2 linked regions of the Drosophila melanogaster genome follow. The protein of the gene in region 2 interacts with the protein of the main gene of each other region in a pairwise test. Each region holds a gene or a part of one and is shown on either strand. Other genes may lie near its edges.

The links.
Region 1: the proteins of CG14712 (region 2) and M7BP interact in a two-hybrid assay, tested with the Drosophila melanogaster proteins (one large-scale study listed by BioGRID).

Annotation. Positions count from the first base shown.
Region 1 is NT_033778.4:7,627,142-7,631,855, reverse strand, and holds the start of M7BP (Myosin-7a binding protein), read right to left. Parts: upstream 3,056-4,714; 5' UTR 2,744-3,055; intron 1,680-2,743; 5' UTR 1,665-1,679; coding exon 1,528-1,664; intron 362-1,527; exon of another isoform or gene 1-361.
Region 2 is NT_033777.3:11,626,904-11,633,747, forward strand, and holds CG14712 (uncharacterized protein), read left to right. Parts: upstream 1-1,855; 5' UTR 1,856-2,037; coding exon 2,038-2,111; intron 2,112-2,177; coding exon 2,178-2,345; intron 2,346-2,414; coding exon 2,415-2,817; intron 2,818-2,880; coding exon 2,881-6,036; 3' UTR 6,037-6,303; downstream 6,304-6,844. Other genes in the region: CG18764 (uncharacterized protein), read left to right, coding at 91-207, 263-1,149, 1,223-1,333, 1,392-1,506.

The DNA of each region.
Region 1 (4,714 bases), on a different chromosome or scaffold from region 2:
AAGCGAGCAAGTGGCATCGTAAATTGTTTTATTGATATGAGTGTAATAATCTTTTGATTATCTCCGAGTTTACTATCCGGCTTTCGTGAGATCATCATTGACCGTATCTAAATGGATTCATGAATTATCTTGAATATCTTAATTCACCTGGCCAAATCTTAAATTTATTTAAATTCAAATAAAACTCATATGCCTAAAAGCATGCTTTATTACGTAGAAAACGATTTTCAACAGCCTTAACCATAAGCAAACTCGAAAACAATACTGCTCAATAGTAAGTAAATAATATCGCATTAGTTTAAACATTTTCCACAACTTGTTATTGTTCTCACAATTGGTTTTGAAAGCACTAAAAATATTTCGTTTTGCGGCTTTTCACTTGCCACAAGGCCAAGATAACTGGTTTCTTCTCACTTTAATGGCGAATAAAACCCAGAATTTCTGTGCATATCTAAACTCTGCCATCGGCCAGAGTTAATTGCATTTGGCTGACTTTCCACAGTTCCACAACTCGTTTGGCTTCATAGAATGTCGTTCATAAAATGTCGTCTTTAAGACCCGGAAATTAATAAGTGAATTATAAGCGAACTGAAAGCTCGTATGTAGAAAATGGTACTCATATAAACTTTATTATTCTGTTTATGTTTTTAATCTTTTCCTTGCTTAAATATATAAAGAAATTGTGCCTCAAAGATATGCATTACTCAGAGCCTTATAGTTTCGATACGCATATTACCCTAATACACTGAAAAATGATGTGTAACTGCCGTCGCTATAATAATACAAATAATGCTGTCAACAAAGCGGCTAATTAAGATGCCATTGAAAAGGTGACGAAAGGCCAACAATTGAGGGGCGTTGTTAGCCATGGCCAATTGTTATTGCCAATTTGTGACGCTTTTTAAGGAAAAAGCAGCTGGCGGCGGGTGGGCGGTGGAAAGTTGTGCCCTTTGTTGGCCAACGACTTCCGCTGGCCATTCTTCGAGGTTCTATCGTTCTTGTGGACGGATTCGCGAAGAGTCAATGACAGCTCGTCTGGGTCTGGACTGGCAATGTTATGAAACGTCTAACGGACCGGCAGGCCATCGCCGAGACACAACAGGTGCTGCATAAATTGGAGGCAGGTGGCGGAGATTGCGCAATCCTTAATTAAGGCGACGCTACGCACTCGATGCCCAAAGTGAGCAGTTGCATCGCCATCCCGGTCGACGGGGCAAGTAACAAATGGCAAATGGTAGCTGGTGGAAAACGGCGACTGGAGAAATGGCAACAATTATGTCAAATCTCTTCAGCTCGGCCATTTCCCACACGCAAACGCAATCAACTCATGCGAAACGATGGCCACGTAACCGGGTTGAAGTTGCAGTCAAGAAAGTTTAGTTTCAGTTTCTATTCGGATTTATCTCGCGCTGCATTTGTATCTGCAGCATACAAAGTGCACGTGCGGATGCGGAGCTTAGCTCACGTAGTCGAACTTGTATCCATCGGATGCTATATTTTGATTTATCTCCCATTTGATTAACTCACCCCAAGAGCTGCTGGGCGCCACACTGCAGCAGATAGGCGCCTCCAATGAGACCCACCACGGAGGTGAGTCCCAGCAGCAGGTTCCCGCTTCCAGGTCGGTTGATTGGCAGCTCCATGAGGCAGATGTAGGGGCGCATCCAGCGCTTCAGGCACTGCGGAGTTCGCATTGAATTCAATTACGCTATCGATTTCGCGGCATTTGCATCAGAAGCACACGCACACACACACTTATCGGAAGCAGCTCTGATTTAATTCCACCTCGATTGAAAACCCTAACTATACTGAATCAATGAAATATCCGGAACAATACTACACCAAACTATTTTTTACTACTTATCAGAGCCGAACATTCTTCATTTGCGGCTATCATCTCTTTGTGGACATTTTACGTGGTTTTCGGCCAATACATACTTTGGCCTTAGCCTTATCAAAAGTTTTGTTTGTTCGATTTAAATTGCCTAGATTTCGACATGAAGTTGTATGGGTAAATATACCCTGAGCAGGGCATTTAAGTTTCGGTTATTAAGTTGAATAGAAAATTGGTAAACCAGTAATACAATTAGTTCCCAGCGAAAATATCACGTAAATAAATATTTTTAGGTACAACTCAGTGCAATTGGTCACATTTGAAGTCGTGACCATTAGTGATAAATAATTTTCAGCATAATGCAAAGAAGGATAAATGAAATTGTTGTCATAAATCACTTAAAGAACATTATTCATTTAAGTATGCAAATCTCGTAGTTTAGATGCAATCACTTGAGAGAAGTTTAGAAAAAACTTTGTCTGCAGTTCGAATCACGTACTAGCAGTTATTTATACGTTAATTTAATTGCCTAAGTGTTTTCCTTTGTGTTTATTTTTGCACATTGCGATTAGCACTAATTAAACTTGATAAATGTCTGTATGTGTTTTTTTGCAAAGCTCCTATCGACATTTTTGCTTTTTTTCATCGAGATCTTCTATAGAAGTTGGCAGTTGCATAATCTCCTTTGGTTTTGCATTTTTTTATTTACAAAAATTATAGCATCAGTTGTGTGTGTGTGTGGTTCTAAGAATGATGTATTTTAATTATCGTGCTATTCACTTCAGTTGGCATTAAAGATGTGGGTTTTATTTATAAATTTGTTTGGTTTTTTTGTAATATTTTGGGAGTGGAATCTTCCCACTGAACCGAAATGAACTTCACTGGCGAAATATCTGAATAAATAATTACCACAAATTTCGCTTGTCTTGTTATTTCTGTTTGCAGTTACGAACGACGATTATCAATCACTTTTCGGGCAATATGTTTCTCAGGTGCTTGCCACACGAACTCAGTCCGCTAATTGCCATCGCCCGCCCGCCGATCACCTTGCTCCATCTTCAAAAAGCCCAAACCGTCGACAGCGTTAACAATCCCGACTGCATGACGCACAAATTGAAACAAAACATACAACAAACTGATTAGGATCACGTGGATAAGGGCCCCCCGTGCCAACGATCTTCAAGTTAAGTTAACTTGGCGATTGGAGCAGCTGACTCCGACTGCGAGTGGAGCGGCGACAGGTTTGTTTTAGCCAAGTTGAATTCGGTTTTGTTTACTTTTTTGCACAATATATAACTGGGGTATATGGGCATTATATTGGATTTTGTTTGCCCACTTCGTTATGGCGGATCGCGTATATAGCCGACCGACCGACCGACCGACCGACCGTTGATTTGATAAGAGTTCCGCTCGCGTCCAGAGATATATAAATATATATATCTCGGTATGCGACGAAAAAGTCGCAGATAAGTGTCAAGACTATTTCGGGTGTGAGGTCACAAACGGGTGTACACTCTTTCCAATTGTGTTGAATCTACGGCCAAATGTTTCCAGGGTTTTAAATTTTTTTTTAAATTTTTTGTGGTTTTTTTTTAGGATTTGTGTGCGTTGCGGGCGAGTAACCAAATTGGAACTGGCCCTTATTGGCGCACTGGGTCAGAGCTTTGTTGGCCATGCAACTGAGGGGGTGGGGGTGGGTGGGTGTTGGCGGGTAAATCCCCATTGAGCCGCAGAAATATGGACACTTATGACCCACCCACCCCGTCCACTATTCTCTGGCATTCCACGTTGTCCAACGGACCTTATGCAAATGCAATTGCATATGCCACTTGGCAGCTGCCAGTCACATGTCCGCCGCTTGGAGGATGGTGGCAAGAGTTTGTGGCCAAAAGAAAAACCTACGAAATCGATTGGCCCTGCCATTGGGCATGCAAAGCTTACGGCAATTAATTGCCATTAATCAACTTAATTATGAAACATTCGATAAGATTGCCACTCCGCTCCTCGGGCATCGAAGCTCGTGTGGAAAACGAAATTATCATGGAATGGGCCATACATTTGGGTGCTCCACAATCTAACCAGTCGATTCCGGAATGCTCTATTCGTATTTATAATTCTATAAAACTCTATCCTGAAATATTATAAAAAAAAAACAATGAAGAGACTCCAACTTGTTTCTCTATCAATAACATAGTTATATAAGTTTATGTAGCATAATTATCCAACTATAAAGTGTATCTTTCCTCACACTGAAAACAGACAACAATATAGTTCAAAGAGGTTTTCCAATTACAATCGCCGAACTGGGTTGGTCCTCATTATCATTCTAATGGAACTTCCCCGCCACAGTTTCCCAACCAAATTGCAAACTCATTCGAAAGCTCGGTGGTCAGAGGCAGCGGGTTTCTCCATGACAATTGTCTAAAAAAGAGTTCCCAGAAGACTCCGACTGCTCACGGAAAGATTTCTGGCTGTACGAATGACATGGCTGAGTGACTGACTAACTGACTAACTGCACCCGAGATTTTGTCATTTCCATTTTGAGGCCGGCAAATTTGCATAAATTGATATCCGCCTGCAGTCTGCGAAATGCAGATGCATACACCCAGAGCAGTTTGCCGTAAGATTGTGGGCTCCATGCGCACCCAAGTCGGCTCAGGCCAATCCCCCAGCTGCCTGTGGCTTCCGTTCTGGCCACATGGCACAGTCCAACTTCCACAGCTTCAAGTTGTTGTCAATCAAATTGAAAACATCGAATTGAATGATGGAAATAAATATATATGTATATGCCCTCTGATATTAAATTGGATCGAATGAATGCTTCAGAAGATTGAAAATCTGGCACTCACCTTAATCTATCGCGCAGCTGCTGGTGGGTGA
Region 2 (6,844 bases):
TGTAGTGGATGCGTTTACAAAACAATTGGTTGTTTATATTCGAATTAAACTGAAGTTGGGCTAAACTTCGGTTGATTTTCAACTAACATTATGGCGCTCCAGTGCCGGACCTGCGGCAGCATCATCTACAATAAAATGCCCAAGAATCTCTTTCATATTGAGAACGAGAAGATGCTGCAAGACATAAATCTTGTCACTGGCACAACAGTATGTAAGAAAAATGGTTTCCATTTGATTTGTGCAGCATTTTCTGTGATTGCAGCTCCACAACGATCCAGAGCTGCCCAGCAGCATATGCGCCTGCTGCACGCTTGACTTGAACCAAGCGATTTTGTTCCGGGAGCGGTGCATCCTAACGCAGAAGCAGCTCGTCCATCGTCGTAGATCTCCCGAAGCGAAGGAACCGGCTGAAGATGTTGAGGAGATGGCATCACCGCCGGATTGTCTGAACGATCCATTCGGGGAAGTCGATGAATACATTGTGGAATCCCCAGAAGAAGTTTTGGATCATGATAGTGATGCTCATCATGATCTGGATGAGGATAATTATATTGATTCTGTTGAAGATGTTGATGCGCTTCAAGATATGGCTGAAGTAGCCGAAGAGGATTCTCAAGATGTCGAATCTCTGATCTCAAGTGTACAGAAAGAACTTGAGAGCATTTGCAACGACGACAGCAACTCGGATAACAACGATTACATGGAGCCCCAAAACGGTTCCTATTTCAATGAAACTATAAACGAATATGAAGTATCATCGAACCCAAACACACCGCTGCCCGAATCGAAGAGTGCAGCAGGTCGGTCAACGAAGCCAGCGACCACAAAACCCAAGCGGAAAAAACAGTACGTTACGTGGAAAAATATGACCGAGGAGCAGATCATAGAGCGTAAGCGACTGCAGCGTAAACGCGAGTGTGTTTGCGAACAGTGCGGCCGGCAATTCACCGACCAAAGCAATTTCAAGCTTCACATGCTGCGGCACACGGGCAATAAGAACTTCGCCTGCCAGCAGTGTGGCAAGCGGTTCTACACCGACCATCTCATGACGCTGCACCAACGAATCATTCACCAGGGCGAGAAGCCATACGACTGCCGCTTTTGCACCAAGTCCTTTCACAATAGCAACACTCGCCTCATCCACGAAAGGTAAGGGACGTATCCTTGTATCCACTACGGATTCGGACATTTCTGAGCTCAAACCAAAAAAAATCCTTTCTAGGACTCACACCAATGCCAAACCCTACAGCTGTCATCATTGCGATAAATGTTTTAAGTCAGCTTCGGGACGCAAGCGGCACGAACTAATCCATACAGGAGTGCGAGCCTTTGCGTGAGTATTTTTTGACTAGGCGTTGGTATTCCAAAATTTAATACAATTCCCTTTGCAGCTGCACCATCTGCAAACAATCCTTCCAGCGCAACACTCACTTAAAGGCCCATCTGCGATCTAAATTTCACACTGCAAAAGCGAAAACCATTGGTGCGGAGGTACTACAATTATAAGCTGATATAGTATTTAAATTAAAAAACAAGTATTAGATATAAGAAATAAAGCAATGTTTTCATTTAATTGGAGTGCAAACATTTAAATTGCGATAAAATTTTATTAACCCGATTTAATAATCGACACATGCTGCAGTGCAGCCCTGCCAATAAGTATCCAAGGTGGCAATCCTGACATATTTCAATATAAATTTGGAGTGAAAATAAGAATTTTTATTCAAGTTTACACGTCTGCCCGAAACTTCCAAATACATTTGACGGAGAAAGTATTAAACATTATTTTTTATCTTTAATCGTTTATTTAGCCAAAGGCTTAAAGATTTTGGTATATTTTGGCGCTTCACCAACGGTCACACAGTAACCATTTCCTATGAAATTCACATTGCATTTCTCTTTAGAATTAATAAAACTAAAAAAAGAAAGAAACGAGATTGCACACAATCGTTTACGACGAAGCTTGATTCACCCGCCAAAAGTGTTCCCCTCCGCCCGACTGCACTGTGAGAATACCGGTTGTTGACCTTCGGCAGCATGGAGCGTCGTCGCTTTAACATGAGCAGCATGTCACCCATGGCGGATTCCACGCGGATTGACGCGTCGCTGTTGTAAGACACCACCTGTCCAACTGGATTCTAAGCGGTTACTAATCAAATTTGCTCTCCTTTGTTCAGAAACAATCGTCCGGCGGCCAGTAATTTCCTGAGGGGACTGAGTCCCAAGGGGTCGAATACCTCGCTCAATGGCACACGCACTCCGGAGCGGTCCTTGATGAATCGCTCTGCCACATCGTCCAGTACCATAACGCGACAGAAACTGAACCTCAGTCAGGTTGATCCCAGGTAAGTCAAAGCTTGTGTGCCATTTCACGATGTGACGAAAGTGCAATATCAAATTTTCATACCTTTCAGAACCTTTGCCGATGTGCATAGCAGCGGACTGTCATCCCGGATCGTGGCCTTAAGCGAACGCAGTGGTCTGCAACGCAGCATGTCCGCCAGCAATCTTTACAATCCCTTGACGCAGCCGCGCAGAGCGCCCGCTTCCCCGTTGCCCTACAAGTCAAGGGCGCCGACGCTTTCGATCACGCAGATTGCACCACCGGAGCGCAGCTTTTATTCCGGAAACACGCTGTCAAGCCTGTTGCGATCCAACTCCTTGGTAGGGTTAGTGCCAAAGACCACCGAACAGGAGCAGCTTTCGAGAGAGAATCGACCCATATTGCACCCACCTCATCCACAGCATGAGAGCGAGCCAACTAGAAGCGTGTTGGAGGAGCTTAAGGAGATCTCCCGAAAGCGCATCAACACTGAAGTAAGTATAAGCCATCAATCATCCTATGAGAAGATCACCGGCTTACACTTGGCTTGCTTTCAGGATACGCAACAGGCTCAAGACTACACGAAAAGGAGTTGCCAGCAAAACGTGGACTTTGTGGACTTTGTGGCTCATCACCGTCAGCAACAGAAACTACGTAATTTGCAGCAACAACAGAATCAGTCCTTTAAAAGGCAACGAGAGCTGACGGTATCGGTTCCGCTCAGGCATCATTCGACATCTTTGTCGGCTGCTTCTCCTGCATTGCAACATATGAACTCGAATGGAACCATCTCCCCAACACAATCTCCGGAGCAGGTAGCCAAACGTCCCAATTGTAGCTACAGCAACGACATCACTTCCTCGCTGAGTTCCAGTTGCCGTCACAGCAACAAGAGGAAGCTGTTGGACATGCGAGAAAGGTTTCAGCACAGCAAAAACGACACACTAGCTAGTGGAGGAAGCTCGCCTGAGAACTCGCCCGAAAATGTTGCCAAAATTCAACGTAAAGTTGATGCAGAAGCTGTTAGCAAGGCAATGAGCATGCCCGTCGTGACTGTGGCGGCAGTTCCTGCTTCACGAGCCATTTCGGCTCCTGCCATTCAAAAGGCAGTTCCGCAGGTGACGGAAAAACCTAAGCTTACACTCTTCAATGCGCGACAATCTCAAACGATAGCGGAACAGCCGCGACCCGATTTGAGTAGCCCGGAAGTAGATGCCGGCGAATATGCAGGCATTCAGTTCGTGAAGCCTAAACAGCAGAATTCCATGCTGGCTGCCAAGAACCCTAGCGTAGAACGCACACACAAGACCAAACTAGCCATTATGCTAAGTGGATTGAAGGGCGAACTGTACCTGGGTGAGCCGGACGAACTAGATGCCCCAGCGCCGAAGTCAGCGCCAGCGCCTGTGACGCTTCCTACTCCCGTCAAACCCATCATCATAGCTCCTGTAACCACATCCACTACGACCGTTACGTCCACCGCAACCATATCAACTTCTGCGCCCAGCAAGCCGATAATACTAAGTAACCAGGTTATAAAGCCAGCAGATGTGCCAAATACGAATAGCACTGGCTCAGTGCCCAAACTTGTGCTTGGTCAGCCTGCGCCGCCCGCTAAAACGGAACAAACACCACCAAAACCCATCGACAAGGTCCCGGCAGCACAAGCAGATATCCCACCCAAGTTTGAGCTATCAACCAAACCCGTTACTCCAGCAACATCATCTCAACCACTAATCAGTTTTGGCACACCAAAATCCACAGCAGCACCATCATTCTCGTTTGGAAGTGCGACCAATACCACTAGTAGCACTATTGCTAATATCACCAATACTACCACATCAAAGCCCATATTCTCGTTCGGACAAACGCCTGCCAATGGTCCCACAGTAGGCGGCCTTTCTGGATTCAAAACTGAAGCTCCAGCAACAACTTCGGTTAGCACAACTAATCCTGGGACACAGGTTACATCAACAACTACTTTCGGAGTGACACCACCCAAAACGACGACTACAGTTGCTCCGACTACAACTGTATCGCTAAATTTCGGCCAGCCGATGCCATCATTTGGAGCAGCAGACACGGGGGTGAAACCGATGTTCTCCTTTGGTAAATCGAACAATTTAAGTTCAGGAACTCCGACAACAAATGGCAGCGATGCAGCTGCCGCCAAGCCTGCTGTATTCAGTTTTGGAGGTAGCACCACTCAGCCCGCTGCAGCTGCACCGACACCGGTATTCGGAAGCCTATCGAAACCCCTAGGCGAAGGTTTTGCATCGCCCGGGGCTAACAAATCCGAGACAACTAAGCCGAGCATTTTTGGCAATTTGGACAACGGACTTGGAAACGCAATGAAGTCATCAACTAATGTAGCAGCCACAACCGCCGCCGAGCTTCCCAAGCCATTTGGCTTCGCAGCTACAACAACCGCTGCTGGCGGAGGATCAACTGCCACAAATCTCTTTTCATTTGGAGGGACGGCCACTTCAAAGGCAGCGGAACCAGCTCCAGCTAGCCAAAAAAACCTTTTTGGACTAAATGCAACCACAACTACGCCCTTTGCATTCGGAGGAGCAGCAGCGGGCGCCGCAGATAAAAGTGAAAATAAGGACAACAAACCAATTGCATTTGCATTTGGTGCAGGTAACAACAGTGCGGTAGCCAACCCAAGTGGAGTATTTAGCTTTGGTGGCACGGACAAGAGTGCACCACCAGCCTTTGGCAGCGGAACAACATCTGTTACATCTGCCACAGCAACACCGACGAACAACACCTTTGGGTTTAGCACGACTCAGAAGCCTGCAACACCAATGTTCGGAAGTGGATCAACGCAACAGTCTTCGACACCGGCAGTGGCAGCCACCAAACCTTTTACACTTGGTGGTGGGGCTCCTACTACACCGTCAGCATCTCCAGCATCTGGAGGATTCTCGTTTTCCGCCGTTGCGACCAAAAATACTACGGCGCCAACAGCAGGAACAAATTTGTTTGGCAGCCCCGCCAGCGCCAGCAAGCCAAGCTTCAACTTTGGAGGAAACACCGCCACCCAGGCGGCGGCAGCAGGATCACCAGCTGGTGGCTTCTCATTCGCCACGACCACCAAGAAGGAGGACTCAGCAAGCACCAATATGTTTGGGAGCCCCAACACCGGAGTGGTGAAGCCTAACTTTAGCTTTTCAAGCAACAATCCAACTCCAGCGCCTACCTTTGGCGGATTCGGTGCTCCAGCAGCGGCTGCACCAACAGCAACTTCAACTAATCAGAGCAAGCCCTTTGCATTTGGGGCTAGCACTCCGGCTGCTGCCCCCCAGCCGCCCTTGGGCGGCAATCTTTTTGCCAACGCAGTGTCTGCTACCCAAAACCAAACAAAGCCGTCAGGAGTCTTCTCATTTGGTGCGGCTAAGAGCACCGCCGGCACCACAGCCGGCAATGCTCCCTTCTCGTTTGGAGGCGCATCTGCTGGCGGAATCGCCTCGCCGCCCAGCAATCAGGGTTTAAATACCGCAAAGCCATTCAGCTTTGGTGGCGCTGGCGGCACTCCAGCCCCGAATGTCTTTGGGAGCCCAGCCCCTGCACCGCCAGCAAGCAATCCAACCGGGGGCTTCAACTTTGGCGGCGTCAGTCCGGCCCAGCAGGCGAATGCCGGCAACATGTTTGCCCCCACACCGGAGAGTCGTCCGATACGAAAGGCCACTAGGCGTCTGCAGAAATAAGTCCGCTTCAGAAGTAGCTTAATATTGTGTTGCTAGTAAAATTATTAATTATACCGAAAAGTGAATGGCTAAAAACAAGTAGTAGGCAGTACGCTTTTTAATATATAAATATTAATCGACTCTGGTTCGTTCTGTGAAATGTAATTGACAGACTTCTTCTTAAATTGTCACTAAATAAAAATAAATAATTTATAACTATTATAAGTAACGCAAAAGCAAATACATGTTATTGAAACGAATATGAAGATTTTCAACGTATCAACGTTCAAACACTTTGAATTTCATTTGGAATATTTTCCCGTGACTGATGAACTAAAAAAGAAACGCAACATTAATTTCATGCTTGTATTCTTTACTTTTATTAAAAGTTTTAGAACTCTCTGCCCTCCTTTAATCACCGCGTTTAAGTTTTGTGTGTTGGTGCATATTTGTGTTGCTTTCTCCAGGGTTTCACTAACGCATAGAACTTTCGTTTACAATGTGGATTGAAGTGTGTTTGTAAAAAAATAATAACTTTAAAATTAATTAAATATATACCATGTGGACGTGGATGTGTGTTTGTGAGGGGGTGTGTGTTGTTGGTGTATTAGGTGTGTTTTACATAAAGTATACTAAAATTATGTGTTAAAGCAAAGTGGCTGCCCTTAAACGAAAATTAAAACGCATAAATGTACAATTTGCTTAAAGGGAACTTTAAAATAGACATTATTTGTTAAGTTAATTAGGGGGTAGGTTTTTAAAAAATAAATTACAATTTTCCTTTGCCTTGCCGCCAGATGCATTGGATGGGTTCGATTAAAGTACAGAG